Macaca fascicularis: one gene and its partners. The protein of the gene in region 3 purifies or fractionates together with the protein of the main gene of each other region. This does not show direct contact. Links are inferred from orthologs where the notes say so. Each region holds a gene or a part of one and is shown on either strand. Other genes may lie near its edges. The genes, in order: BCL7C, ARID1A and SS18.

Evidence for each region.
Region 1: the proteins of SS18 (region 3) and BCL7C purify together in Homo sapiens (affinity purification with mass spectrometry; 3 studies listed by BioGRID and IntAct, counting the BioPlex papers as one, with this or other methods). This does not show direct contact. The link is inferred for Macaca fascicularis from reciprocal best matches to the Homo sapiens genes SS18 and BCL7C.
Region 2: the proteins of SS18 (region 3) and ARID1A purify together in Homo sapiens (affinity purification with mass spectrometry; 7 studies listed by BioGRID and IntAct, counting the BioPlex papers as one, with this or other methods). This does not show direct contact. The link is inferred for Macaca fascicularis from reciprocal best matches to the Homo sapiens genes SS18 and ARID1A.

What each region holds. Positions count from the first base shown.
Region 1 is NC_088394.1:29,065,091-29,074,958, reverse strand, and holds the start of BCL7C (B-cell CLL/lymphoma 7 protein family member C), read left to right. Parts: upstream 1-3,879; 5' UTR 3,880-4,125; coding exon 4,126-4,217; intron 4,218-4,767; coding exon 4,768-4,846; intron 4,847-5,111; coding exon 5,112-5,220; intron 5,221-5,312; coding exon 5,313-5,474; coding exon of another isoform or gene 5,475-5,484; intron 5,485-9,105; coding exon 9,106-9,191; intron 9,192-9,868. Other genes in the region: CTF1 (cardiotrophin-1), read right to left, coding at 2,150-2,198. UniProt on the Homo sapiens protein: May play an anti-apoptotic role.
Region 2 is NC_088375.1:208,409,363-208,419,230, forward strand, and holds the start of ARID1A (AT-rich interactive domain-containing protein 1A), read right to left. Parts: upstream 5,530-9,868; 5' UTR 5,158-5,529; coding exon 4,012-5,157; intron 1-4,011. UniProt on the Homo sapiens protein: Involved in transcriptional activation and repression of select genes by chromatin remodeling (alteration of DNA-nucleosome topology).
Region 3 is NC_088392.1:63,685,666-63,695,533, forward strand, and holds the start of SS18 (protein SSXT), read left to right. Parts: upstream 1-4,218; 5' UTR 4,219-4,258; coding exon 4,259-4,327; intron 4,328-7,257; coding exon 7,258-7,334; intron 7,335-9,868. UniProt on the Homo sapiens protein: Appears to function synergistically with RBM14 as a transcriptional coactivator. Isoform 1 and isoform 2 function in nuclear receptor coactivation. Isoform 1 and isoform 2 function in general transcriptional coactivation.

The DNA of each region.
Region 1 (9,868 bases), on a different chromosome or scaffold from region 3:
TACTCAGCAGGCTGAGACAGGAGAAGCGCTTGAACCCGGGAGGTGGAGGTTGTAGTGAGCTGAGGGTGCGCCACTGCACTCCAGCCTGGGCAACAGAGCTAGACTTCATCTCAACACAAACGAACAAATACATACATACACACACACATATATATAAATATATATAATTATATATATTATATATACAGAAAATTATATATATACACATATATCAATATATATACACACACAGGGAGAGAGAGAGAGAGAGAGAAAGACAGAGTCTCGCTCTTTCACCCAGGATGGAGTGCAGTGGTGCAATCTTGGCTCACTGCAGCCTCCACCTCCTGAGCTCAAGTGATCCTCCCGCTTCAGTCTCCTGTGTAGCTGGGACTATAGGCATGTGCCACCACGCCCAGTTAATTTTTGTATTTTTTGTAGAGACAGGGTTTCACCATGTTGCCCAGGCTAAAAGTGCATATAATCTTGTGGGACCTCCATTGTCTGTACGGTCCACCTGTTGACCAAATGTTGTTATGCAGTGCATGACTGTACTGCCTCCACAGTGCAGCCTCCAGAATCACTCCTCCTTTGTAAATGAACTCCTTCCTTTGACTTAAGGCCATTTGCATGAGTTCCAGGGTAGCTCTTTTAATGGCTTTTCTGTGTATATCTGCCTTAGCCTGAGAGCCCTTTGAGGACAGGGCTTACATATTTCCAACTCAGTGACTGCTAGTGGACTTCGACATTATCGAAGCACAGAACTTCACATCGGAAGGTGCCTTGAAGGCCTGTTTTACAGATAGTGAGACTGACGTCCATTTCCATTTCTCTCCCTGATGCCCCTTCCGTGCGAGGCGCTGGTCTGGCTAGTCAGCGAATCAAGGTCCGCAAGGGCCAGTGTCTGGCGCCCCGGGAGGGACTCCATTTCCCGAAACGCACAGCGCGCTCCAGATGCGCGCTGGGGAATGTAGTGACCCGGTGCCCCGCCCCGCCCCCACCCCGCGCCAGTTTCCCAGCACCAGTCGCGATCCTCAGCAGCCCAGACTTTCGTCTCCTGTTGTCACTTACTACTTCCTGTGACTCCAAGACTGCCTTTCCTTACTCTACCCCTTCCTCCAGTCCCCAGCTCTGATTCTTTCCCGAGACTCAGTGGACGCAGGGGTCCTGCCCCAACCCCGACCCCAGTCCTCCCCATGAGTGTACTCGAACCGTTGATCTAAGTCCTGAGCCCAAGTCCCTGAAACCTCAGCCCCAGGCCTCCTCTAAACCCTAGCGCCTGTCGTTTCTCACAACTCACCCGCTCGCTCGTTACCTGACACCGGAGCCCTGCTCTTCCCCGTCAAGGCCGCTCCCCTCCCGGCCCCGGGGGTGGCGGAGACCCAGACCCCCAGCTCCCAACCCCTCTGACTCCTGCGGCCCTCAGCGACCCGGCGTCCGGTCCCTCAGCCCCTTACCCAGATTTCCCTCCCTCCGGCTCATGCTGGCCCCTGGCTGATCCCGGCTCCCTCCACGCCCCCCTTTGGAAGGGGGAGAAAGGGGAAAGGGCTGGGGGCGTGGCCCGGGCGCAGCCAATCAGAGCCCAGACCCCAAACATTTCACCCTACCCCCCCTTTTCAGACAAGATTCCTTGGCCCTGAGCTCAGTTCCTCGCCCGTGGGGCCTAGTAGGGGAAGGGGCCCGAGCTGGGAGGCAAGTTGTCCGCCGGGTGGACAGGACCTCAGGGCGGGGGTGTCAGCGCCTGGAAGGCAGCCCAGTGTCCTGCCGTGGGCTCAGGCTTGGACTTGAGGCAGGGGCTGCTTTGGTGGGAAAGGTGAGGAGACAGGAGAGGGAACAGCCGGACTGGCAGGACAGGAATGCGCAGGCCCTCTCTCTAGTCTGGGGCGCGGCCTGCGAGAGAGGCCACGATAGGGGCCGTCAGGCTCGGGGCACGCTTGTCCAGACATACATCTCCTGGCATATCTTAGATGGCTTCCAATCTCATTGTCACAACCACCAGAAGGGAGACAGATACACTGCTCTCCTCTCCTTAGCAGGCCTAGTAACAGAATCACACACACACGCCCCCCAGAAGAACAAGCTTCAGAGACCTGGACAGGAAGTCACACCCACGCATCAACCCCATTAACCTGGTGTAGACTGAAAGGAAGGCACATAGGGATGATCATACTTGGTTTCTGGCCCCCCCGAGGGGCTCGCGGTCTGTCGGGGAAGCCCATAGACAATAGCAGCTAATGCGGTTTGTGAGTGAAGACTGGGAGGAGGCCCGTGTGTGTGCGTGCGCGTGCGTGTGTCTGCGTGCGTGCATGCGTGCGGATGTGTGTGCGTATGAGCGTGCGTGTGTGCGAGTGGATGTGGTGTGAGGGTGCAGGTGTGCGCGTGTGCATGCATGTGCGCGTGCGTGTGTGTGTGCGTGTGCGTGTGAGTGGGTGTGTTGCCGTGAGCAGACAATGCTGGAATAAAGGAAGAAAGAGTTTAACTGGAGAGGGCACAGTAGATGGAATTGAGCCAGACCATTAGTAGGGCCCACAATCACATGTGCATTGACCGTAAATAGTTATTGGGCATTTACCATGTGCTGGGAACTGTTCTAAGAGCTATACACACATTAACTAATTCCTATGTTATAGATGCGGAATAGAGAGAAGTGACTTGTTCAGGGTAATACAGTTGGGTGTGGCGCAGCTGGGATTTTACCTAAGCAGCTTGGCTCAAAAAATGCTGTCCTAATCATGCTCCTAACCCCTTATACCCTTAACCTCGGGACATGGTCACGCCCAAACTCACAGACACAACAGGCACATCTTGAAACACACACACACACACAGCAGCACAAATTTTGACATGGTCTTATCTGCTGACAAGCCAGCCTCAAATAAAGTCAACCAAGACACACTCACTTTCTTTAAGTAATGCACATTTTATTTAAGTCATGTGATGGATTTTCACAGAGTACATATGCCCAGGGAACCAGCACCGGATCACACAACAGAACTGGATCAGCTCCCAGAAGCTCTCCCCTCATCCCCTCCCAATCCTAAGGGCGACCACTATCTTGACTTTGGTGCACTTTAAATTAGTTTTGTCTGGTTCTGAACGTAATACACCTGGAACCATCTAGTATGTACTGTTGTATTTGGCTTCTGTCACTCAAGATTTCGTCATGCGACTTGTCTATGTTGCTGGGTGTAGCCGGGCATGTCACTCCCGTTGCTGTGTCTATGTGCATGGTAATGAGTAGGGCATCATTCATTTTCCATTCTGTTGATGGGTTATTTCCAGTTTGGGGCTGTTATGAAAGGGCTCTGAACGTTCCCAAGCACCCTCTTGGTGCTCACACCTACACATTTCTGCTGGGTGTTGACAGCCTAGGAGTGGAATTGCTGGATCACAGAGGTGGCATATGTTCGGCTTCACTAGAAAACTGCCAGTTCTCAAAACGTCTCTACCAATTTACACTCCCCCAGAAATACAAGAGAGGTTCAGTCGCTCTACTTTCTCGCCTCCACATGGTGCGGTCTTTTTCACTTTAGCCATTCTGGTGGGTAGAGACCTACTCGTATTCGCAGCGCCTGGCGCGTAATTGGCGCTCAGTTAACAGGACTGTTGAATGAATGGATGAATGAGTGTTGGGCGGTGTAGACCGAGAGCCTGGCGAGGGCGGACACACGCACGCACTCCACACACAGCGTTTCGCGGACACCCACCGCGGCGCACGCACCCCAGGACACAGACCCTCTCGAGCACCCCGCGCCCACGTGGTCTGAACGCACCGCCTCGGCCCTGCCTCGCGCGTCCGGCCGCCGAGCAGTACCCAACTCCCGCTCTCGACAGCGGGCAGGGGGCGCTGCGCGTCCAGGCGCTCCGAGGGGGCGGGCCCGGGTCGGGGCGGGGCCGGCCGGGCTTCCAGGCCTGGGCTCTGGCCGCCCGCGCCACCGGGCCGCTCCGGGGACGGGCCGGGGCGGGGCACGGCGGCAGGAAACGGGGCGGGGACTCGCGGAGGCGTTGGGGACGAGAGAGGGCGCGGCCAACTCCCGGGGGGACGGCAGGCCGAGAGCGCGGCGCCCGGGCCTGGCGCCGAGCCTGAGCCCGCCGGACGGGAGGCGGCCCCGCCGCGGGCTCGGCTCCGGCCCCAGCCCCGCCAGCATGGCCGGCCGGACCGTACGGGCTGAGACCCGGAGCCGGGCCAAGGATGACATCAAGAAGGTGATGGCGACCATCGAGAAGGTCCGGAGATGGTGAGCGCTGCCCGGGGGCCAGGGACGGGACACGGCGGGACCACCACCACCTAAGGCGTCTAAGCTGCCTTCGCCAGCTCTGGGCCCCGGTGTTCGCTGTATCCCCGCCCACTAGCTTTGCCCTGGATCTGTCCCCGTTCCCCTGGCTACTCCTGGGGGTCTACAAAGCGTGGTCCCCAGTCGTGCTCTCCCAGAGTGGGAGCCCCCGTTTGTGCCCCGCCCCCTAAAGCTTTGACACTCCTTCTGCAAGTGCGCCCCGAGATCTGCAGGTCTCTGATCCCGGGCCAGGCCCATAGCCACGCCCCCCGTGTGTGCCCCAGGGGTCCGCAGAGCCAGGGCCCAAATCATATCCTCTCTCTAGAGGCACCCACCGCCTGTGCCCTGGGGTTTGCAGGGCTCTCTTTCTCCATGTAACTATGCCCCATTAGCAAAACTGTTGCTACCCTCCTGTGCCTCCCCAACCTCTGCAGGTACCCCCAGATGTGTCCGGCTCCTGGGGGGGTGGGTCTCCCCTCAGGCCTCTCTGACCCAGTCCCCCACCCTCCCACAGGGAGAAGCGATGGGTGACTGTGGGCGACACTTCCCTTCGTATCTTCAAGTGGGTGCCAGTGGTGGACCCCCAGGAGGAGGTGAGCAACCCCCATTCCCACAAGGCCCTGCATCTGTGCAACCTCAGGCAAGCTCCTCCCCACCCTGACCTCTACCTCCAGCTCCCAGAGACCTCAGATGCAGCAGAACAGACAGATGGGAACCATCATTAGCAGCTCCTCCCCTTTTTCCCTCTTTTCTGTTCCACACCCTGAGTTCGAGCCCTTTTGCTTCTCAGTGCCTCAGTTTCCTTAGGTGTATGGTGGGGCTTTCCAAGAGCTCTGACCCTAATCCTCTAACCCCCAGGAGCGAAGGCGGGCAGGTGGCGGGGCAGAGAGATCCCGTGGCCGGGAACGTCGGGGCAGGGGCGCCAGTCCCCGAGGGGGTGGCCCTCTCATCCTGCTGGATCTCAATGGTAGGTAGGGATCCTGAAATGCGGAGGGCTGTGGGGACTGAAGGAGTGTATTAGGGATCTCAGGCCAACCATCTCGGCTCTTGCTCCCACAGATGAGAACAGCAACCAGAGTTTCCATTCGGAAGGTTCCCTGCAAAAGGGCACAGAGCCCAGTCCTGGGGGCACCCCCCAGCCCAGCCGCCCTGTGTCACCTGCCGGACCCCCAGAAGGGGTCCCTGAGGAGGCTCAGCCCCCACGGCTGGGCCAAGAGAGAGGTAGGACCAGGTACCTCCCAGGAGCCCTCTCCTCTAAGTCCTGTCTTCTCCAGAGTCTAACCTACCAGCTTATCCCTATACCTGCTCCCCATCTTGTGCACCTTCCTCAAGGTGCCTTCCGACTCCTGCAGAATCTCTCTGTAGTTGCTGTCTCATTCCTCTGGTCTCTTAGGATCTATAGATGACATATCACTGTCTGAGACTTTCATGTAAATTAATTTTTTACTATCTTTCTCCTCACTCTCATGTCAGTTTCCTGAATGTTGGGCCCATATTAATCCTTTTTTTTTTTTTTTTTTTTTTTTTTTTTGAGACAGGGTCTCACTGTGTCACCTAGGCTGGAGTGGTGCAGTGGTGTGATCATAGCTCACTGCAGCCTTGAACTTCCTGGGCTCAAGCGATCCTCCCGCCTCAGCCTCCCAAGTAGCTTGGACCACAGGCATATGCCATTTGTATTTTTTGTAGAGGCAAGGTTTCACCATGTTGCCCAGGCTGGTCTCAAACTCACTCACTCAAGCGATCCTCCATCTTCAGCCTCCCAAAGTGCTGGGATTACAGGTGTGAGCCATCACACCCATACCCGCCCCCCCTTTCTTTTTTTAGAGAGAAGTTCTCTGTCACCCAGGCTGGAGTGCACTGGTGCAATCATAGCTCACTGCAGCCTCAAACTCCTGGGCTCAAGGGATCCTCTGGCCCCAGCCTCCCAAGTAGCTGGGGACTACAGGTGTGTGCCACCACACCCAGCTAACTTTTAAATTTTTTGTAGAGATAGGGTCTCGCTATGTTGCCAAGGTTGGTTTCGAACTCCTGGCCTGAAATGATCCTTCTGTCTCAGCCTCCCACGGTGCTGGGATTATAGGCGTAAGTCACTGTGCTTGGCCCTATGTGATCTTGTTCACTACTGTATTCTCAGAATAATATGGGACACAGAGTAGGTGCTCAGTAAATATCTGTTGAGTGAATAAATAATAGTGATAGTCATTGGGGTGATTAATAATAACAGGAATAACAACAGTATTTATTGAGCTCTTACTGTGTGCCAGGCGCCCTGGTAAACACTTTACATGGTTGGGTTTTTTTCTTTTCTTTTCTTTTTTTCCTTTGAGTTTCACTCTTGCCCAGGCTAGAGTGCAATGGCACAATTTTGGCTCACTGCAACCTTCACCTCCCAGGTTCAGGCAGTTCTCCTGCCTCAGCCTCCTGGGTAGCTGGGAATATAGGCATGAACCACCATGCTTGGCTAGTTTTATATTTTTAATAGAGATGGGGTTTCGCCATGTTTTGCCAGCCTCGAACTCCTGACCTCAGGTGGTCCGCCCACCTCGGCCTCCCAAAGTGCTGGGACTACAGGCATGAGCCACCATGCCCAGCCTTTTTTTTTTTTTGAGATGGAGTCTTGCTCTGTTGCCCAGGCTAGACTGCAGTGGTGTGATATCAGCTCACTGCAACCTCTGCCTCCCAGGTTCAAGCGATTCTTCTGCCTCAGCCTCCCAAGTAGCTGGGATTACAGGCATGCCCCCACACTCAGCTAATTTTTGTTTTTTTGTTTGTGTGTGTTTGTTTTTGAGACGGAGTTTCATTCTTGTTGCCCAGGCTGGAGTGCAATGGCACAATCTCAGCTCACCACAACCTCTGCCTCCCGGGTTCAAGTGATTCTCCCGCCTCAGCCTCCCGAGTAGCTGAGATTACAGGCATGCGCCACCATGCCCCACTAATTTTGTATTTTTAGTAGAGACAGGGTTTTTCCATGTTGGCCAGGCTGGTCTTGAACTCCCGACTTTAAGTGATCTGCCTGCCTCAGCCTTCCAAAGTGCTGGGATTACAGGCGTGAGCCACCGTGCCTGGCCTAATTTTTGTATTTTTAGTAAAGATGGAGTTTCACCATGTTGGCCTGGCTAGTCTCGAACTCCTGACCTCAGGTAATCCGCCCGCCTCCGCCTCCCAAAGTGCTAGGATTACAGGTGTGAGCCACCGTGCCCTGCCAACACTTTATGTGTTTTTTTCGCATTTAATTTTCACTACAACCTTATAAGGGTGATGATCTTGTTATGATCCCTATTTATAGATGAGGAAACTGAGACCCAGAGAAGTAACTCAGCCAGTGAGCCAGCATCTTGGGCCTGGGTCCTCCTCAGCTCTGCATTTTTTCTTTTCCCGCTTTGAGACAGAGTCTTACTGTGTCGCCCAGGCTGGAGTGTAGTGGCACGATCTCACTCACTGCAACCTCCGCCTCCCAAGTTCAAGCAATTCTCCTGCCTCAGCCTCCCGAGTAGCTGGGATTACAGGTACACATCACCACACCTGGCTAATTTTTGTATTTTTAGTAGAGATGGGGTTTCACCATGTTGGACAGGCTGGTCTTGAACTCCTGACCTCGTGATCTACCTGCCTTGGCCTCCCAAAATGCTGGCATTACAGGCTTGAGCCACTGTGCCCAGCCAGCTCTGCTTTCTTCCATGCAGTCAAACCCGTCTGGTTGGCACCTCTTCCTCCCAGGCCCTGCCTTGTCCCTGGCCTTCCCATCTCTCACCCGTTTTTGGTTCTAGCTGGTCTCTTCTAGTCACCCCGACACAGCTGCCAGAACAACTTTTTCCTTAATATTTTTTAAGCTTTGCTTTTTTGTTTTGGAGACAAGGTCTCACTCTGTCGCTCAGGCTGGAATGCAGTGGCGTGATCATGGCTCACTGCAGCCTTGGATTCCTGGGCTCAGTCAGCCTCCTGAGTAGCTGGGACTACAGGCATGCATCACCACGCTCAGCTAATTAGTGTTGTTATTTTTTATAGAGATAGGGTCTTACTATGTTGCCCAGGCTGGTCTCAAACTCCTGGGCTCAAGTGATCCTCCTCCCTCAGCCTCCCAGAATGTGAAACCCTGTCTCTACTAAAAATACAAAAAATTAGCCGGACATGGTGGCACACACCTGTAATCCCATCTATTAGGGAGGCTGAGGCAGGAGAATTGCTTGAACCTGGGAGGCGGAGGCTGCAGTGAGCCGAGATCGCACTACTGCACTCCAGCCTGGGTGACACAGTGAGACTCCATCTCAAAAACAAAAACAAACAAACAAACAAACAAACAAAAAGAACATCCTGATGTGGGACTGTGGGCTGGGTCTGGGTCTAGATAGTGCCAAGCACTTGTATACCTTTGCTATTATAAAAACGGTAGCAAGCATTTATTGAGCACTTACTGTGTGCCAACCACTGTGCTTTACCTGCATCTGCTCATCTGACCCTCACAACAGCCGCATGAGGTAATTACTATCATTATCCCCATTTTACAGATGGGGAAACTGAGGCCCGTGGAAATTAAGTAGCTGGCCCAAGGTCAGGATTTGAACCGAGGCAGTCCAAGCCCGGATTCTGTGGCAACCTAGCACACATTCCCTCTGCCTCACATGTCGTACTTTCCTGTCTGTCCACCGCATCAAGACCTACTCACCCTTGAGCTCCCACGTCAGTGTTCCCTCCTCTGCTTCCTAAGGCACAGCCAGGTTCCTGCTCTGTCCTCTCTGCTCCCATGGCCCTCTGCCTTCTGTGACTGGGGCCTGTGACCGTCTGTTTCCCCCACTGTCTGTGCTGCTGGCACAGAGTGGCTGTTTAGGGGATGTTTGTTACCTTGACGTTCCAGATCCCGGGGGCATAACTGCTGGCAGCACCGACGAACCCCCAATGCTGACCAAGGAGGAACCTGTTCCAGAACTGCTGGAAGCTGAGGTGAGAGAGGCCAGAAGGCTACACTCCTGGGTCTTGGAGGGAATGGGGTATCTGGGGCAGCCGAAGGCTTGGAGCCTGCATCCTGAGGCCCTGGAGGAGAGGCAGACCTGGGACCGAGCTGAAGGCTTAGGGGCTGGGTTCTTGGGACTGAAAAAGAAAGGGTGTTTCAGAGACAAAGTGCTAAGGGCTGGATCAGGGCTGATTTGAGACCATTAAAAGCCTGACAAAGCCGGGCGTGGTGGCTCATGCCTGTAATCCCAGCACTTTGGGAGGCCGAGGCGGGTGGATCATGAGGTCAGGAGATCGAGACCATCCTGGCTAACACGGTGAAACCCCGTCTCTACTAAAAACACAAAAAATTAGCCGGGCGTGGTGGCACGTGCCTGTAGTCCCAGCTACTCGGGAGGCTGAGGCAGGAGAATTGCTTGAACCTGGGAGGTGGAGGCTGCAGTGAGCCGAGATCGCGCCACTGCACTCCAGTCTGGGTGACAGAGCGAGACTCCTTCTCAAAAATAAATAAATAAAGCCTGACAAAATCATGGTGCTCCTCCATGCATTTTCAAAAAATATCAAAAAATATCTTAACTGTAAAATTAGCGTAAGAAAATCCCTCGTAAACCTCTGACGTTTCTCACGAAGCTACCTCGATGCATTTTCAGAAATATCAAGTATCAGGT
Region 2 (9,868 bases), on a different chromosome or scaffold from region 3:
CACAGCTTAATCTGGAGCTGTATGTGGAACCTAAGCCTCCTCCTTCCTCCTCCTGTTGTGAGTCCTGTGCTCTTTACCACTAATGCAACACACAACTCAAGTGTGCACCAGTAATAACAACTTAAGTGTGCATCAGTAATAATAATGACCAATCTAAACAACAAAAAACTCAGAGATAAAAGTCACAGGAATCAGTACTCCATTCGACCCCAGGCATTACAGCTCACTGGCAGAAAAGAACGACTCGGTGCCAATATATTTGAATACCACATTTTTACCATATTTACAAGCTTCAGTTGATTCTAGAATTTTGAGAGTTGAAGCCAATCAATAAAACCTTTTGAGGGGTGGGAAGAGGAAAGGGCCCTGCCCATTACTTTGTTAGCCTATTCCCACATTTTTAAAAAGTTCACTAACCTCTTTGCAAAGGGCCTACTGTAGACATTACACCCTACAGGAGTCAATCCAACATATTAATGTTTAATGCAATCCAAGACATCCTGTTTCAGCAGGTGCTGCTTGTCATGGTTACCCATGTCACACACAAAGCAAGAAACCTAAAAAGTCCTCACAGGGCCCAATACACAAGAAGCCAAACTCGGTCCTGGCTGCTTTCTCTGTTCTCACACCACCATCTCAATCCTCATCACCCCAGTTCTCTCATGAACAGTAGAGAAACATGAAACCCCCACAACTAAAGTGCCATCTCAGTGTGGTTTTCCTGGTCCCTCCTACTTGAGAGAGCTCCAAGAGTCCTGTATTTCAGCCAGCCTAGAATTTCTGCCAGTAGGCATTCCCATAATAAATCTAGGATTCCTGTATCTGTTTCCCAGGAGTCAGAAATATCATTTGATATTTCCATAGTAGAAACTAACAACCAAACTTCTACAATCAAATCCAACTGGTTCCTGGACTATTTATTGTATTTCATTTTTTACCTTGGTAAACTGGTACTACTCTCAAAGTATTATTGCTAAACAGCGTTCCAATAAAAGGCCTTAAATCAACTTCGTGTGTGTAAGTAACCTAAAACTATGTCATCAGTACCAGGATTCAACACTTGACATACGCTACTTATGAAAAGGAATAAAGTAGAAGTTTGTCTGCTAGGACCTTCCCAGCTCCTGTGAAAAAGACATAGTCACAATACACACACCTAATCTTTATTTCATAACAGCAGAGTCAAATGAAAACATTATCACCTTAGCTATGTTAATTAAGTCGCTGCAAAATATTCTTAATCTAAGACTGGGCCAGGGAAAGATGGGGGCAGAGCAAGACTTTTTAATTTCAGAATGTTCAAGACTAAAGCATCATGGTCTGAAAAAACATTCATCCTCAAGTGGCAAAAAGGAATTCAGAACAAAGTCTGAACCTACAACCCTCACCTAGACTACTACCACACACCTGAAGCAGTCCACAAAACTGGAAGCTGCACTCTCTCTCAAACAAGTGAATGCTCACCAGCCCATTCCCTGGGCCTCTGGGGAGTAGGCCACTGAGCTGAAATTAATTAGGAATCTATGTTGTGTGTGTGTGGGTCTAGTGATAATAAAAGAGATCAGAAAATTCATCCAAAGGCAGCAGACAGGCTTCCAAACAGGGACTGTATCCATTCTCCTATCATCCACACAGAAAAAGTGTTCCATAATTTAATGACTGAAAAACAGAAATCATTATACCAAAAGAGTTGGCTTTTTCTTTAAAAAGTTTGACTAAATATTTCCAAACCAGCAGAGTTCAAATCAATTTTGCTTTTAAATGAACCCTGACTTACTACCCCAAATGACTTATTCTAATAGTTTTCAAGAAAGGTAAACTTTTCAGCCAAAACCAAACAAAACAAGGGGAATGAAGGGAAAGAGGTTCAGACTATAGGATGACCCAGAGACAAGAGGATGCTGTCTTTTAAGACAAAACTTTTCCTCCAGACACTAGAAAAACAATGTAACATTTCCCTATTTCTTGCCCAGATACACAACATCATGGAAGATGTAGAATCAAGGCACAGAGCTCCAAGCCCACCCTCTAACACAGCTAATTTCAAAATGCCCAGCTCAAAGGAGGAGTAGAAAAGTAGCTCTAGGATGGGCTGGGAATACAGCTAGTAAGTGAACAAAATCTCCTAGCACAAAAGCGCAAGGGGTTTGGGAGGCGATGGATGGAGCTTCCCCCTCTTTGAAAACATGTATGACTCCACAGAATACTCAGTATCCCTGACCAAAAGCACTGCTGACAGAGCATGATGAAAATGGAAGAAAAGCAATAAAATAAAACAAGATAGAATAGTATAAAAAGATACTTCGAAGTTGCAATTTCTAAGCTAATCTCAAGTGTCATTCTAGGTCATATCTTCATGTCTTGGAAGACAAGAAAAAAAGTGGTACATTAAAATGCAAAGGAATAAATTGGCCAGTCTCTATTTCAAAGCTCTAAAATGACTGATGACAAAACAGAAAACTAGACTTTTTGTTATTCCAGGAAAAAACAATTTCACCAAACCAAGCCTTTAGGAGAAAGTCCCTCAAGATCATGAAAGACACCAACTTCCGTTTAAATTAAGCTGCTATTCCAAAGTTCAATTAACAAAAGAAAGTGTTAACAAGATTCAACATGTAAACAAAGAATGAGGCCAGCCTTCCATAACACAGAATGCTTGAACCTAATATAAAATTCCTCAGAAAGCTCCCAGTTCTTAAAAAGAAAAAACTAAAAAACGAAAATTGTTTTCTCCCCCACCCACAAAGATCCCACATTTGCCACTCAATAAAAACCCCAGTAAAATCATTTCAATTCTGCAAAGCAACCAGTGTCAAAATTACTCAAGACAAATGCATCTTCAGAGCCATCAAAGAAGTCATTTATACCATCAGGAAAGTCACAAAACCAAAACAAACAGCAAACCCATTGTAGAGAAAAAACTCAGCTACTGTTCTGACAACACAGAATTCATTTCAGGCTGCATAAAACATAACAAGCAAAATAAATCCAAGGTACAAGCAAAATGCCATTGCCCCCTCTTTTGTTTCGGGCACAATGTAACAAGGGCAGGCTGTCTGAGGCTTTGCTCCTGCTGATACAGTATTGCTACTTAAACCTCCCTCCTCAAGGTCACAGCCAATTTCAGCTCTGGAATAAAAGGCAGATAGTGGCAGCGATGGTTTGGGTTATCACTGGCAGAAAAGCAGAGTGTAAAAGTTTATGAGCTCATCAGGATTGTTGTACCATTACATCAGAGGCAATTATAAATGGCCAAGAGCAGGAGATGGGGAGCCAATCAGATCACAGATAGGATGTCAACCTAAGACCAACTGTCTCCTGGCTTTGACAGAAGGATTTTACCTCCATAATTCAAATCCCAAACCAAAGCAATCTGCACTTACTACTCCAATCACTCAGCTGTTTACCAGCACTTCCAGAGAGAAGCCCAGGCCACTGGGCCGGCGGAGCCTAAGACAGGAGATGGCAAGGGCTGCCCTAGGTGAACCGCAGCCGGCCTCTAGCAGCTCCCAAGCAGTCCCCTGCCCTCCCTCGAGGTCCCTCCGAGCTCTAGGGGCCCTCTTTGAAAGCACAGATGGGGGGCGGCCCAGAGGAAGGCCGGGGGACGGAGAGGAGCGGCAGGTGAGCAAAGAAACGTTCATTCAACTCCTGGGTTCCTACCACTGCCTACACTCCTAACCTGAGCCCCCAGCACCCCCTCACTCCCGGCCAGGCCCTTCCCCACACACTCTGCCCCGCACCCCCATCAAGACCCCTGGAGTTCGAAGGGACCAAGGGAGAGGAACAAGAGAAGCAGACACCTCTGGGAAAGCCCGACACAAAGGCTGGAGGAGGAAAGGAGAGGAAGGCAGACAGGCAGCCATTTTAAGAGAGAAGAGCCAGACAATGGCAGCTCCCCAGCAGTGGGGGCCCGAGACTGAGGGGAGCCCAAGGCTGTGGCCCGCTGACCGCAGCCGCCACCCACCCCCAGGACCACGCTCGCCCCAGCCCCCTCCCCACTCAGCTGTGTACCTGAGGGGTCCGGGCGAGCGGCTGCCCCCCGCCGCCGCTGCTCCCGGGGCTCATGGGCGCGTGGTGGCTCCTTTGTTGGGCCCCTCCCGAGGCGGCCGCCGCCGCCGCCGCCGCCGCTGCCGCCGCCGCAGCCCCCCAGCACTGCGAGGCCATGTCCGCCGGGCCCTTGCCGGCGCCCCCGTCCTGGGGCCCGCCGCCGTAGTCGCCCCCGGGGTAGCCCTGGTAGCCCCGGGCCGAGCTGGGCGACGTGAGCAGTTGGTTGAGGGTGGGGGTGGCGGTGGGCTGGGGAGTTCCCCCGCCGGCCGCGGAGGGGCCGCCTCCCCCCATGGCCCCGAAGCGCTGCTGAGCGAAGGACGAAGACGACGAAGAGGCGGAGGCGCTGGAGGAGGGAGGCGGCTTGGAGCCGGGAGCCGCCGCCGCGCCGGAGCCCGGAGTGCCACCTCTCGGGGAGCTCAGCGCGTAGGCCGGGGCGGGCGGGGGGTAGGCGCTGCGGTTGGGGTAGTAGGAGTTGTACTGGTGGTTGGGGAAGCCGTGGTCGTGAGAGTTCTGCTGGGGCCCCGCGTAGGGCTCCAGGCCCCCGCCGCCGCCGCTCTGCAGCGCTGCCAGGCCAGGGCTTTGTTGTCCGCCATGTTGTTGGTGGAAGACGGCGGCCGCGGCGGCGGCGACGGCAGACGGGCTCCGGCCGTAGGGTTGCCCGAAGCCGTAGGCTGGGGGCGGCAAGGCGGCCGCGGCAGAGTGAGGAGGCGCCCCCACCCCATCGCTGCTGCCGCCACCGCCGCCGCCGGGCGGCTCCGTGAGGTTATTGTTCAGGGCGGGCCTAGGGCCCGCGTTCCCGTTCGAGTTCTTCAGGTCCGGCTCCGCGCCGGGCCCGCCGCCGCCGCCAGCTCCGCCGCCGCCGCCACCCCCATTGCTCTCGGCCCCGTCTTGCAGCTCCTTTCCCAGCGGCTGCGGCGGCCCCACGGCAGGGCCCTCGCTTTCCTGCCCGGCGGCTGCCTTCATTTCCCCGCGCTCGGCCGCTGCCGCCGCCGCCGCCTCGCCCCCCGCCTCCTCCCGCTGCTGCTGCTCGGCTTTCTTCAGCTCCGAGGGCGGCGGCGGCGGCGGGTTGCCCAGGCTGCTGGCGGCGGCGGGGGCGACCTGCGCGGCCATGATCCCCGCTGTCTCGTCCGCGGAGAGACCCGGCCCTGTCTTCGTCTTCTCCCCCCCTCCCACCCCGCCCCGGGGCCGAGTCCCCCGGGCTGCCCTCCCCACCCGCCCGGGCGGGCCTCGCGGGGCTCCGCTGCTGCGCTGCGCTCGCTCCTCTCCCCCCCGCCCCGCCGGCTCAGGCTCCGGGCTGGCGGCGGCGGAGGAGGAGGAGGCGGCGGCGGCCGAGGCGCCGGCGGCTCAGCTGCTCCCGGCTCTGTAGGCTCGGGACCCGGCTCTCCCGGCTCATTCCCCCCAAGCCCTTGCCTGGGAATGAGGGGGGCGGTGGAGGCTCCGCTCCCCAGGGCCTGGCCCCGCTGTGACTCTCCGCTTTCTGCTGCCGGAGAAAGGAGGAGGGAGGGAGGGAGGGAGGCGAGGGGGAGGGGGCGGGGAGGGAGGGAGGGAGCGGGGGGAGGGGGACCCGGGACGGGCGGGCTGGAGGGCGCGCGGCAGCAGCCCGGGCGCCGGGAGCCAGAGTCAGAGCGCGGGCCGGGCCGGGCGCCCTGCCTTCCCTCGCCAGCCGCGGCTTGGGTCGAGGCTGCGGCGCGGCAGCGGGCGGGCGAGAAAGCGGTCGGCCGGACTGAGCGGCTAGAGCGCCCCACTCTCCTCCGAGTCCCCCTCACTCCGACACGAGGCTCAGCACTGCCATTTTACCCAGCGCCGTCGCGGCCGCCTTGCAAACCCGGAGTGGAGAGCGGAGCGGGCGCAGGCCGTGGAACGGACTCGCTCCCTACCCCTCACAAAGGAGGAGGGGAGAGAACAAGCCGCGGCGGCGGCAGGCCCTTAGCCGCTTTCGCTAGGCAGCGCCGCCGCCGAAGGCTTCGGAGAAAACCCGGCCCGGAGCCCGCGCATCTCTGGAGCCTGCGCCGCCTCCCTCCCGGCGTCCCTATCCAGGTCTGTCCCCTCCCGGCCGTACCGAGGGGAGCGGGCAGCGTGAACTTTACCCGCGACTGCAAAATTGGCCAGAGCCCGAGACCGCGGCCGCCTCGGCCCAGCCCTGACCCCCTGGCAGCGGGCCCGGTCCGTTGGCTGCTGTTTAGCACCTCTACAGCACTTTTCGTCTTCAAAGCCTTCTACAGACCCCGCTAAAGACCCAGCCTTTTTACCCTCTTTGCGAGCCCAAAGGAATGACTGGTCATTGTTCAGATGATTCGTTTCCCACTCGCCTGCCCTCATTAGCCGGTCCTCACAAGGCTCTGGGGGCATGAGGTCCGGATTATCCCCATTTTACAGAATTGAAAGAGGGGAGGGAACTGCCTGTCACTTAAAGTCAGAGGGCAGAGGAGGGTGACTTTAAAAAGAAGTGGAGTCACCAAAGCTGCCTTCGGTCTACTTGCCTTAAAAAAAAAAAAAAAAAAAAAAAAAAAGTCAAGTTGTGAGCACATTCAACAATGGAATCAGAATATCAAAATGGATTTGAAGTCAAAACTGATCATCTCACCACTGACTTAAAATGGAGGCCACTTGAAGTTGCTTTAGGAGCATACAACAGTTACCCAGCAGGAGAACCTAAACCCTGTTTTCACTCCCTCTCAGGAAAACTTAGCCCACAATGACCAGTATCCCCAGTCTCCAAAGACAGTACCTTCTAAGACTGAAAACCCACAGAAGAGGCTCCAGGGACTGCAGGAACCTGAGTGTTCAAACCATTACAGAAGAGAGATGCAGAAAATGGAAACCATTTTCTCCTTGAAGAAAAGGCACAGTCCAACAAGTCACTTAGAAAATGGATGCTTCTCAGATTTGTTTTCTATCCTGTAGCGTAAAAATTGTTTAAAGTTTACCATTTACATTCTAAGAGACCCCGATTGAGCTGGATCTGAAAAGATCAAGACATACACAGAAAACTCCAGTGTTGTCCTGATCTACAGGCCCCACCAAATCCCAGCAGCAGCCTTTTCTTCCTCAGGCTGACTTGGAATGTTCTGACATGACAGGCTACGAAAGCCAGAGGGGATTCCAGCTCCTCACCAGACCCAAGGCTGCCTTGGGAAAGGCCCAGGCCAGTGTTCCTAGACACCAGGATATTTTCCCCCTCAGATTTTGTAAAGGGAGACTTCATGGCCACAGGACCATTAGATTATGCAGGACCCCGGAGTGCTGGCCATATCCCTGGTCACTATGAATAATTCCAAAGCCTGAACTCACTTCTCCCCCGCAAGAAAACTTAGTGAATCCTACATTGAAAAGGCAAAACCTTCCTGTTAATCTAACAGTGGTGGAAAAAAAAAAATCCCACAGCTTTATTCTTCTCCCCTCCCCCGGCCTCAAGCCAAGAACCAAAGCAGCCTACCAAGAAGATCCAACTGACTGGTATGGGCCAGTGCCCTCTTTTCACTCATAGTCCTCAGGGGCAACAACTCTCCCCGGTGCATTAGGTCCTAGAAACCAAATTATAGGCTGCTCATAAATAGAGCTTGGCTATTTAATCAACTGCCTCTGAGCTGGCAAACAGTCCTGAGTCCTGCACACAAATGAGGATTTTTTTTTACATGCAATTACCCTGCCATTTTCCTCAGAGCTGGGGTGTAATGGGAAACCTGGAGCCCAGTGAAAATCTGGAAGCTAGAATGGATTTCTCTCCAAAGAAAGCCCTCATCCCCTTTCTTCAATGGCTGTGAAATATGGAAAGCGCCAAAAATCTCCTTCCCTACACGTGGGCACGCTGTTTTGAAAACAGTCACCATTTTTCTCTAGCAATAAGGTAAAGTGCACAAAAATCTATCCACCTGGGTTGGAGGAGATAATGTGGCATTTCTCTTTTTGTTTTTTAATTCACTAGGGTTCTCTTCCACTTCTACCTTTAGAGCCCCACACCACAATCCCAGGGACTGTTGAGCTGAGGGAACTTTTTTAGAAACTGGCCCATCAGCTTTCCCTAGGGGCAGTGGCAACGGGAAAGGGGGGGAAGGGAGGAGCTGGGCACGTGGCTGGCCCGAGCAGCGAGACCCCGGCTGGGGGCTGTGGGTCCTCCCTTCGGTGGAGTTTTCTCCCCCACGGTCCCTGCCTTTTAACCCCACACCCAGGCAGCTCAGGAATCCCGGCGCAGATTGGAGAACTAGGACTAGGACAGCGCTACCCTCGCGAAAGCGCCTCGGCCAACAGCCTGATGGCAAATATGGACTGAATCGTTGACATGGAAACCGGACTAAAGTCTCGCTAGCTCTCCCTCACAGGAGAGTTCTTATCGCCGTCCCCGACCGCACGGCACTTAGCAAACATGGACTGGATCTGCGGCCTGGAGTATCAGGCGGAGTTTCTGGGCGCATTAACTCCAGCGGCAGAGCAGCCAAGGAAGGGGGCAGGGCTGCCAGGACAAACCGGCTGAAAATGGCAGAGGATGTGCTCCCATTTTATCCGGCTGCACAGTGTGCATGGATTGGGCCCGAGGATAAGGGAACAACCTATTAAAATCCAGAGAGTCAACTGCAAAATGTGGAACCGAGGCCTGGAGGGTTTGCTAGGAGAGGGAAACGTGTGCAGGGAAGACAGCCCTTCCTCTCTCGCAATTTGCTTCCCCTAAATGTCTGAAAAACTCAACAAACAAACAGAAGATCGGGCTCGGCTCCTTCCTCCACCCAATCCTTGTGGGAGAAGTCGTTTTAAGCCCAGGGACCCTAGTGAGGGTTTGCTTAGGTTCCTAACTAAGGCGTGGAGAATCGTTGGAGCGCCAGGTTGTTGCCCCCACACGTTCCCGCCGCGGCACAGCAGCAGACGCCCAGCAGAGCTCTCTCGAGTGCGAACTAGAGCTGCGAGTTTGAGCAAAAGGGCAACTATGTCAGTTGACGGAAGCCAGAAGCAGAGTTCAAAGCCTGGCGTGGATTTCCGTCTGGAGCTGTCTGTTTCTTAAAGTTTGTAACTCCGTGTTAAGAAACAGCCCCAGCGGAGGCTTTGGGATCGGTGTGAAAGTCTAGCACTACCATCTGACAGCGAGTTGCAAAACTTTGGGCTGCATATTAAGCGAGGAAAGTGGATTGAAGCGAGAGTCAAGGCAATTCATTATGTTACCGGCTCCCAGACGGGAGCTGTAAAATACGAACTGGATCCACACACGGAGAAAAATGGAATGAACTTGGAATGGCATTCAACAGCTCTTCGCGGTAAAACTGTGCCTGCCAAGGACCTAGAATGCCAAAGGAGCAAACCAGGAGGCCTCAAACTTGGTGGGCACACAGTAAATGCTTTTCTAGATCTTTTCCCCATTCATCTCAAACTTAAGCAATTTGGGGTCATTTATATTTCAGAATAATAAACACATTTTGAGAAATGTTAATTTCTGAATAAGACTTTTTTTCCCCAAAGTAGCTGTGAAAAAAAGAGCCTCAGGCGTAAGTCAACCAGCCTATTTTGTCCCAAAATAAAATAAAAATTACCCTCACCCCCACTTTCCCCAAAACTAAAACAAAAAATAAGTAAAAGTCCAGGCTGGTCTGGCTTGTGGCAGGTTTCAAACAAAAATAACACCCAGGGCCAGTCTAATATGAGGAAAAAGGTACCAAGGCTTTCATATTCTCCTAAGCACAGCCTCACTCACCAGTCTTACTGGTGAGCTTGCTGACCAGTGAGCTTATTTTTGTGGAAAAGACTGAGTAAAGCTACTACTACTACTATTTTTTTAAAAAACAAAAACCAAAAAAACAGGACTGGGGTTTTATAAAACCACTGGGCAGATCAGGAA
Region 3 (9,868 bases):
GATGTAGAAGTGACCTGTCCAGTATTATGCCATGGGTAGAATAATTGGGAACTCCAAACCTATGCATCTTTCACAAAGAGTGAAAGCTTTCCATAGGAATTACTTTTTTTTTTTTTTTTAAAAAAAGCAATGCTTTTCTATATCACTGAACCAAAAAATATAATTGATTCAGTTCATACTTAATTCATTCTATATTTGATACTATAAGAAGAGATGAAAATGCCTCTGATAGGCTTTGTTATAGTCTACTTTGAATGAAACCTTCCATAGTATCAAAAATAAAAGTCCTTTACAGAGAATTGGGAAGGGTGATTTGTTCTTGCCTGAATAATGATTAAATAAATATATAGATGTATGCTTCTTTCTTTACGGTCTTGAAATCTGTGGGAGCCACAACTCAAATTGACTCATCAAATGCCACAGGGACTGTGAACAGAAATATTTTGAAAGATATTACCTGAGGGGTTTTGCTCTGAGCCCAATTATGAGCAGACAGGCTTGGTCTATGCCTTCCCAATGTATTCTAAAAATTTATGACAGCTCAGGGGCTTAAAATACCAGCACATTTGGTAGTACAGATACTCTACTAATTCTAAAACATACATATTAAAGAAATGCTTGTATGAAAGCAAAATTATTTTAGTTATCCGTACATATTTTTTGTGGATTAAGATAATTTTTAATGCCATGGTTATATAGTTTCACTAAATATTGAACATATTACAGGAGCACTTTACTTTGTCAGTTCATAAAAATATATTTAAGGAATACACGGTCAGGTGTGGTAGCTCACGTCTGTTCTCCTAGCACTTTGGGAGGCCGAGGAGGGTGGATCGAGACCAGGAGTAAAGGAGTTTGATAACAGCCTGAGAAAAATGGTGAAACCCTGTCTCTATCAAAAAATACAAAAATTACCCAGGCATGGTGGTGCATGCCTGTAGTCCCAGCTACTTGGGAGGCTGAGGTGAGAGGATCGTTTCAACCTGGGAAGTCGAGGCTGCAATGAACTGAAATTGTGCTACACTGTAGCCTGGGTGACAGAGTGAGACCCTGCTTCAGATGTGTGTGTGTGTGTGTGTGTGTATTTTAAGGAGTACAGATTTACATAAAACAGTTTAAAAATTGAAACATAAAAATCAAACATGGACAATTTTTTTTAATCTTGTTTTTGGTTAAATCTGCCTACTTCATATTCATTAGTGTGAGTAATCAAGAATTAACTGTTCACGCAGATTATTTTTCTTATTCTGATCCACTGTATATGTTCTTCAATTTAGGATTATTCCAAACTCCTTCTACCTCTTGGTTATGTGACTTGAATTCCTTCTTTGGATGTCTCTCATTCAAGAGCAGTTTAAATAGTGGGACTGATTTTTTTGGTTGGGGAGATGGTTGCCTGAGTAGCTTACCTTTAAGTCCTTAGAGGACTTTCCCAGTTTTAGGCCAACTTCCCTTATTTATTCTCCTTTACTTCCTTAACTAAATGCTAGGGACTGTTTATTCTCCTCCTTCTACCAACTCTGCTGCCACTCAGTCTACCTTGGGATTCCTCTCAAAACTAATGGTCAGGTGAGATGGGACTTATTATGTTCCCCTAAGTATTCCCTAACTCAGGACTCTTAAACAACAAAGGCCCCCAAATTTTAAGAAAGATCTTTCAGGCTTCAGTCTCAATCTTTCCTCTTTCCGAATTTTCTGTTTTTCCAGGTCAGGCTGATTGGACTGATTGGGTTTTAGCAAGGAAGCTTGAGGGTGAAGTAGTTCTCTTTTCTGGCTGGACTTATAGAACAATGCTTTTCAACCGATTTCATGTGATCAGACACAGAAAATAATGGTATTTTTACAGCATACATGGTGTCACAGAAAAGACTGTGGTTATCCATACCTGGAGGCTATGGGTGCTCTAGGCCCTACCCAGCTACTCTGAAGAAATAAACACCTCAGGGCAACCTGTAACCTGTTTTCAGTGGATTTCCCTTTCTCACCTTGGGGAAGCTGTAATTTAAACAAAGAAGGTACCTATCTCCGGGTGCCTCCCTGGAATAGAAGCCCCCTTGGACTATTTATTTTTTGCTGGGATATGGAAATTAGACAAGTGTTCCTATTGGTTCTTGTTGCCCTTTGAAGTTTCAGTGCTATCTGCCAAATGCACAGAACTGGAGCAGTAGGACTATTTACGATTCATGTTTCCTATTGAGATATTGTTCTTAGCTACTAAGTACTAAGGTACTTTTGTGTAAAGCATGAGACATGACTCTGCATGCCAGGTGTTGAGTGCACAGTGATAGTGGTAGACAAGTGTTGGTTTCCAAATTCGACAGAAGTTTTCCAATTTGGTGTGGTTACCTTAAGTCCAGCTATACCAGAGTGTTTTCTTCAAGGCTTAGAATAGTGAAAGACAACAGTTAAAATTTTAAGAATAATTGCTATCAGTAGGAGTATAAACTTTCTTCCCTTTATCCTTAGAACAGCTTGAGTCTTCATCCTTTAGGTCTCAGTTTAAATATAAAGGGGAATACTTTTCACACTAACTAATGTAGGTGTCCCTGTCATTCTGTTAGTCCTCCCCCTTTTTTTTGGCTATTTTTTCTTGGGACTTTACATATATACATATTTCTGGTCTGTTAGTCCCATTAGTGTATAAGCTCCTTGAGAAGAGGTTCCATGTCCAGCTTTTTCACAATTGTACCCCAGGTTTCCAGTATAAAGTCTAATAAACAATGCATCCAGATTTAATCAATGAAACTCTTGACATTTTTGTGAAAAGCATTTATTTGATACTTTTTTTTTTTTTTTTTTTGAGACAGGGTATTGCTGTGTCATCCAGGGTGGAGTACGGTGGGGCAGTCATGGCTTACTGCAGTCTCCACCCGCTGGGCTCAAGTGATCCTCTCACCTCAGCCTCCCGAGTAGGTGGAACTACAGGTGCACACCACCACACTCAGCCAATTTTTAAAATTTTCGTAGAGCCAGGGGTCTCACTTTGTTGCCCAGGCTGGTCTCAAACTCCTGGCCTCAAGTGATTACATTTTTAAAACAATGTATTTTTTCTTTATTTTTCCAATTTATATGAAAAATGGAAATATTTATTTTTTATTATTCATTAACGTTGTGTAACACTTTATATAAACTTTCCCTTTGTGTTATATGGAAGTCTAAATTTACAGAATACTTTAAAACCCCACGGCAACACAAAACCCACATTTGTCCGTGTTCCTTCCGTAATTTGAAAATTTTGCCTTTTTCCCTTACACTGACTTGAAGCCTGGCAGCTTGGGCCTAATTTACAAGGCACTAAGCACTCTTAAAAAACAGAGTGTGAGGATGCCCTGTTTCACAACTTAATTCCAAAGAGCCAAGTCAGACGAAATCGACCCACTTTCCTGCTAAGGGTTTGTCCCACGAGGCGAGCTCTTCTCTGTCCGCTCCAGCCAAGTTGGCCGATTGCCCCCGAGCACTGGACACAACCTTGGTGTCCCGGTTTCGGGTCAGGGTTACTTTCTAATTGTTATGCACGACTTTGTGCATGCGTGCGAGACTGTGGACTCGGAGGTGCGCATTTGGGGCGTAGCCGAGCCATTTAAACCAGCGAATCCGCGTTCACCTTATCCTTCCACCTCTGTCCTATCTCCGCAGATGCTCCACGGATTGGCACGAACTCCCGAGTGCTGACCTTCCTCCCCTCTCCGGGCTGCCCGGACATCTCGGGGCAGCGACTTCTTGCCAGGAGGCGTAAGTAAGGATGAAGTTGGAACAACTGAACTAGGTCTAGGGCACGCTCCGCAACGCAGTCGGGGAGACGCTTCAGAGCGCCGCGGGGGAGGCAAGTTGCAACCGCGCGAAGGGGGCGGGCCGGCTCGAGCCGCTCGCATTTCCTGTGACAGGGGCTGCCCCAGCCTCTCCCTCTCCCGCGGCGGCGGGACCATTTCCTGAATCGCTGAAGCGGAGGGAGGACTAGGGCGCGACTCTACCATTAGCGCGAAAGGCCAGGGGGTGCCCACAAGGAGAGGTCGGGGGATGCGAGGACGGTCAAGAAAGTTCGGCCGGGGCTGCGGGTCCCCCAGAGTGCGCAGAAACGAGACGTCCCTGGGCCAGAGTGCCTCCTTCAGGCCTGCCCCGCCGGCCGTCCGCTTGGCCCTGGAGCATCCCCCCTCCCCGCATTCCCGAGGTGGTTCAGCCCGAGAGGCCGGCGTCTCTCCCCCAGTTTGCCGTTCACCCGGAGCGCTCCGGACTTGCCGATAGTGGTGACGGCGGCAACATGTCTGTGGCTTTCGCAGCCCCTAGGCAGCGAGGCAAGGGGGAGATCACTCCCGCTGCGATTCAGAAGGTGAAACCGCGCTGGGTTGGGGATGCCAGGCCCTTCCCGCCTCTGGGAGAGACGGACACGGGGGGAAGGGCCGGGCCCGGAGTCGACCGGGCCGGGCCAGGGGCGGAGGCGGAGGCGGGCCTGCTGGGAAGCAGCCGTGTGTGGGAACCGGGGCTGCGGGCTGTGCCTGAGTTGGTGGCGGAAGAGGGTGAACCGGTTTTTCTCGGAGTCTTTCGCGCGTTTACGCGCTTTTCTACAGACACAAAAGCCCAAACAGCCGCCGCCTGATTTCTCTAGGGATGGGGCGGCGTTCGGGCGGCGGGGCGCGTGCGCCCGGCGGCGGCCGCGCTGGGAAGGGCGTGTGTCGGGCCGGGCCCCGCGCGTTGCTCCGGAGTTACTTTGGCGTCGCCCCGCCCCGCGCGCCGCGGCTGCTTCGTGCGGACCCCACCGCGGGCCGCTGCTGGCGGAGGGAAGTCGGAGCGCAGGTCGCTGCCCTGCAAACTCAGCCGAGTTTGGGAGCTCTCAGGAGAACTTGGGGAACGCTGGAGGGAACCTTAGTAGAGTCTGAGGAGCGGGCAAGGAAGGTCCCCATGGACTCTGAGGTTATCCCCAGAGCCTCTTCTTCCCTTCTACATCGCCGCCTATTCATTTACTTCTGCAGCAAGTATTTATTGAGCGCCTATTTTAGGCGCTGAGGCGACTATGGTGAGTCATGGTCCCTGCCTTCCTGGAGCTTACAGTCTAGTGGTGGAGACTTCTGTCGTAACCAGTTAATATAAGTCGTGATAAATACAGAGGGAGCTGCCTCCTTTTTAAGGATAGTGCTGCTACAGTCGCTGCTGTGTTACTGCCTGTCGGAACACAAAGGTTCTTTATTGTCCTCTACCCCTTGTTGCCTACTAGCAAGGCAGCATTCTAAATTTTACTGACCTAGGCTTTCAAAAGTTGCTGCTATATTTAGCAGTTTACCTTAAATATTTTTGTTTTGTTTTATGCCGTGTAGCAAAGATCAAAATAGAAAAAAAGGTCAAGTTTTAGTACCACTCAGACCACATAGATTATGCTAATCGGTTTCTGTTTACTGTCAGGTTCTTCGTAGTGTGGCTTTTGACATTTGCCCAACTGTTGCTTTATTTTATGAACAAACGGGCTTGGCAGTGCCTGGAAATGCAGTGCTTTCATATAGTACTCTGAGTTAAGTCTACAGCCTGGCAAACAGCTCCAAGTACACACTTACGCAAAACTGCGTTTCTGGGGGGTTCACCTTTTTTATTTTTGTACACAGGAAAAGTCCAGAGTTTTTCTTTTTTTCTATAGTTTCTCTTACATACGTCTTAAGATATTTATCATGGATAATGATTAATTCCGAGTATGGTGATCAATTTTTTTCCATTCTCAGCTGAACAGAAACATGGGCTCCAAATTAAGTTCCTTATTCTGCAATGGGAGAGATTGATATTAGATGTGAGACACATATTTTAATGGTGACGTTCAGTAGTTTGAGGAATATACTGGAGATAAGTTGTGAAATCATTAGGTTGAGGATTTGATTCGTGCATTTTAAAGACTTTTTTTGGTCAATGATTCTATCTAAGAAATAACTGCATTTATTAGCAGATCATGTTAGTGGTTTTTTTCCCCCAGTAAGTGAAGATTGTGATTCACGTGCAGAAAAAAAGTGACAGTTAATGTTAAATGGATGTTCCTTTTATTGAGATAGAGTGATTATGGTATTGTACTAATACTTTTGAATCCTGGTAGGGTGGGGCAGGTTCTGGAGAGCATCTCCTGAGTCCCTTGATCTTGGAGCTGAATCAGCCTCTGAAAACTTAAGTGACTTGCTCAAAATGGCAAAACTGGCACTGAAACTAACTGGCCTTTTAATTGCTACAATCAGTACTCTTTCTTCAGCTCCACTTTACTTAGATGAATTATTTAACCCTCAAAGCCAAGATTACTTTGAATTGTTAAAAGATGATAGAATGATAAATCGGTATCTTTTTCCTCTTAAACTTTTGAGACAGCGTAATTATGAAGTAAACTCATAAAGTCTGTAACAAATATTATACATGCATAGAAATTACTATCTTTAATTATTATCTCATAATTGGAGAATCACAAAACCATGCTGTTATAAAACTTGGAAACTAGCCAGCTACTTCATCAAGACTCCTGGGCTGAAGTTTTCATGTATTTATTTCATTCTGGAGAAGTACAGAATTTTTCTTTACTAATCCAAACCATTAGAATGATGAAAAGCCAACTCGGACTCTTAACTTTAGTCTTAATTGGCTAAGCTTCTATTACAGATAGCAGAGGTAATTAAATGTTTGATATAAAAGAATTCAGATTTTCGTTTCTGGGCTTGTTTATTCAGAGGGAGAATAATTGGAATATTAAAACGTTATTGATTAAACATGGTATCATTCCAAAGGTGTAAAATTAGGATTTTTTTGTGGTGAGCTATCGTATATATTAAAAAGACCCAAGAGGATTCAATTTCTGTATAGATGCAATATTTCTAGAAATCTGAAGGGAAAAAAACTCAGTTACTGAAAACATTGTCCATATGAACTGTGCATGGCATAATTTTACAAGAGATTTAAACAGTACGTAATGAAATTTTATGCAAGAGAGCTGCTGATTCACTAATCTTGCTTTAAATCATATTTATTATTAAAATGAATTTTAAAATACTTTGTAACAGCGGGTAGCAACGTTAACAGAAAATCATTTTAAGGAAATTTTGTTTTTTTATGTTTCCATGTTTGCTTAATGATTTATGATATGTAATGATTGTTTGGCGGGGAGGACAGTATTTTGTTAAGGGGTACACTTTAGAGTTCTTGTACAAGCAGTATTTACTAATGCCCTCCCTCTCTGAATTTTCTAGTTTTTTATTTTACTTGATGCACTAGTTTTATGCTAAACCTTTTCTAATTCTGTTTCAGATGTTGGATGACAATAACCATCTTATTCAGTGTATAATGGACTCTCAGAATAAAGGAAAGACCTCAGAGTGTTCTCAGTAAGATTGATAAAAAACTTTTTTTTTAAATTCATTTTTTGTATTGGTTAGTTTTTTACTTTTTACTAACAGCTTTATTGAGAAATAATTCACATACCATACAATTCACCTATTTTAAAGTGTACAATTCAGTGTTTTCTAGTATATTCATAGAGTTGTGCTGGTATTAGGTCAGTCGGTTTTACAACATTTTTAACATCCCCAAAAGAAACTGAGTATCCTTTGGCAGTCACTACCCCCCCGCCCCTCACCCCCTGACAACTACTAATCTACTCGCTGTGTGAATTTGCCCGTTGTGACATTTCATATAAATGGATTGATATACTATGTGGTCAGTTTTGACTGACATTTTTCACTCTGCGTAGTACTTCTGAGGTTCATTCATGTTGAATCATGTTTCAGTACCTCATTCCTTTTTATTGGCAAGTATTTTTTTCCATTATGCAGCTGTACCACATTTTATTTATCCATCGGTGATAGCCTTTTGTGTTGTTTGTACTTTTGACTAATTATGAATGATATTGCTATGAACATTTGTGTACAAGCTTTTGTGTGACTTGTTAATTTATAAAAGAAATCTTTCTTTGGGAGGAGATTGGGTATCACTTCGTTTCTTATACTTCTTACCCTGCATGATACAATAATGACTTCAAATATATGTGTAGTCTGATCTGTGGAAAAGTTAGATCTTCATTTATGTAGGATATTGAGTTGCATCCATGTATGTGGTGGAGAAAACAAAGCTTATATCTAATAAATAGAGAATTGATTGTCATTCATAAGGACCAAACTTTCTACCTTAAAGCTATGTATCTGAAGTAAATAATATGCCCTAATAGAATCTGATGTGGTAGAATGAGTTGAATATATTATCAAAAGTATTTAGAACAGCACTGTCCATTAGAAATACAAATGCGAGCCACATGTGTGATTTTAAATTTTCTAGTAGACACAGTAAACAAGTAAAAAGCAGGTGAAATTAATATTAGTAATACATTTCATTTAACCCATTAGTTCCAAAATAGTATCATTTCAATATCCAATTAGCATAAAAATATTGAGATATTTTACATTTTTTTTTTGTTGTTCTAAGTCTTGGAAACCTATTGTGCATCTTGCTTTAATAACACATCTCATTTTGGATTAGCCATATTTTACTGTGTCTAGTGGGTGCTATATTGGTCAACACAGCTGTAGAATATAGTTGACCCTTGGTATCCATGGTGAATTGATTCCAGGACTCCCCATGGATACCAAAGTCCAAGATGCCCGTGTCCCTGGTATAAAATGGTGTAGGATTTGCATATAACCTACTCACGTCCTCCTGTAAACTTTAAATAATCTCTAGATTGCTCATAATACCTAATACAATGTAAATACTCCGTAACTAGTTGTTATATTGTATCGTTTAGGGAATAATAAGAAAAAAGTCTGCATGTTCGGTACAGACACAACCATCCATTTTTTTTTTTTCCAGAATATTTTCAATGCATGGTTGGTTAAACTATGGATGTGGAATCTGTGGATACTGAGGGCTGACTATTCTCACCCTGGTTTTGGGATGCATCTGTCTTTCCTAGAGACCTCACTGGTGTATCCTCAGGCAGATAATTCCCACCAACCTTGGCCCTTGCTTTGTTTGGTTTTCACATTGTATTGGTCTCTTGCTGTCATTTGATTTAACCGCTGTTTAATTCCAGGTTGCCATTACTTTTTCCCCTTTGTTTAAAAATATTTTTAAATTTAAAAAGTCATATATGGTCATTGTAAAAAAAAAGTTATAAAGTGTGAGTTTGTGGAGATAAGTCACCTTTTACATGCCACTTACTATCTTATCTCCTTCCCCTCCATAGGGTAACTGCTTCTGTTGCTTTAGTATGTATCCTTCCAAACATTTTTCTGTGCATTTACATATATGCGTTCCTATTTATGCGTACACGTTGATAGATACTGTTTTTAATATTTACGTAGGTTACAGTTTTAGAAATGGAATTACTGGGTTAAAGACCATACTAAGTTGCCAAATTAGCCAGCAAAAAGATTGTATTGGTTTGCTTTCTCCCAGCCAGGTTTTTAGAGTCCTAGCTTTCAGCTATCCCTGTGAGCAGTGAATATTAGACATCTTTAAAATATTTTTGCACATCCAGTTGCTGAAAAGTGGTGTCTTAAAGAACTTTTTGTTTTGGCCAGGCACGATGGTTCTTGCCTGAAATCCCAGCACTTTGGGAGGCTGAGGTGGGAGGATTGCTTTGACGACATGAGTTTGAGAACAGCTTGGGCAACAGTGAGATCTGTTTCTACTTAACACCAACTACAAGAAAAAACAAAAAGCCTTTTTGTTTTGAAATAATTTCAGACTTACAAAAATATTTCAAAGATAGTACAAAGAATTCCTGTATGCGCTGTACTGAAGTTTTTGTACGATAACATAGCCCACTTGCTTTTTTATTCATTTCTCCCCCATAATGTTTTTCAGAAACATTTGAGAGTAATTGCAGATATGAATCCCTCTTACTTTTAATAATCTCAGTGTG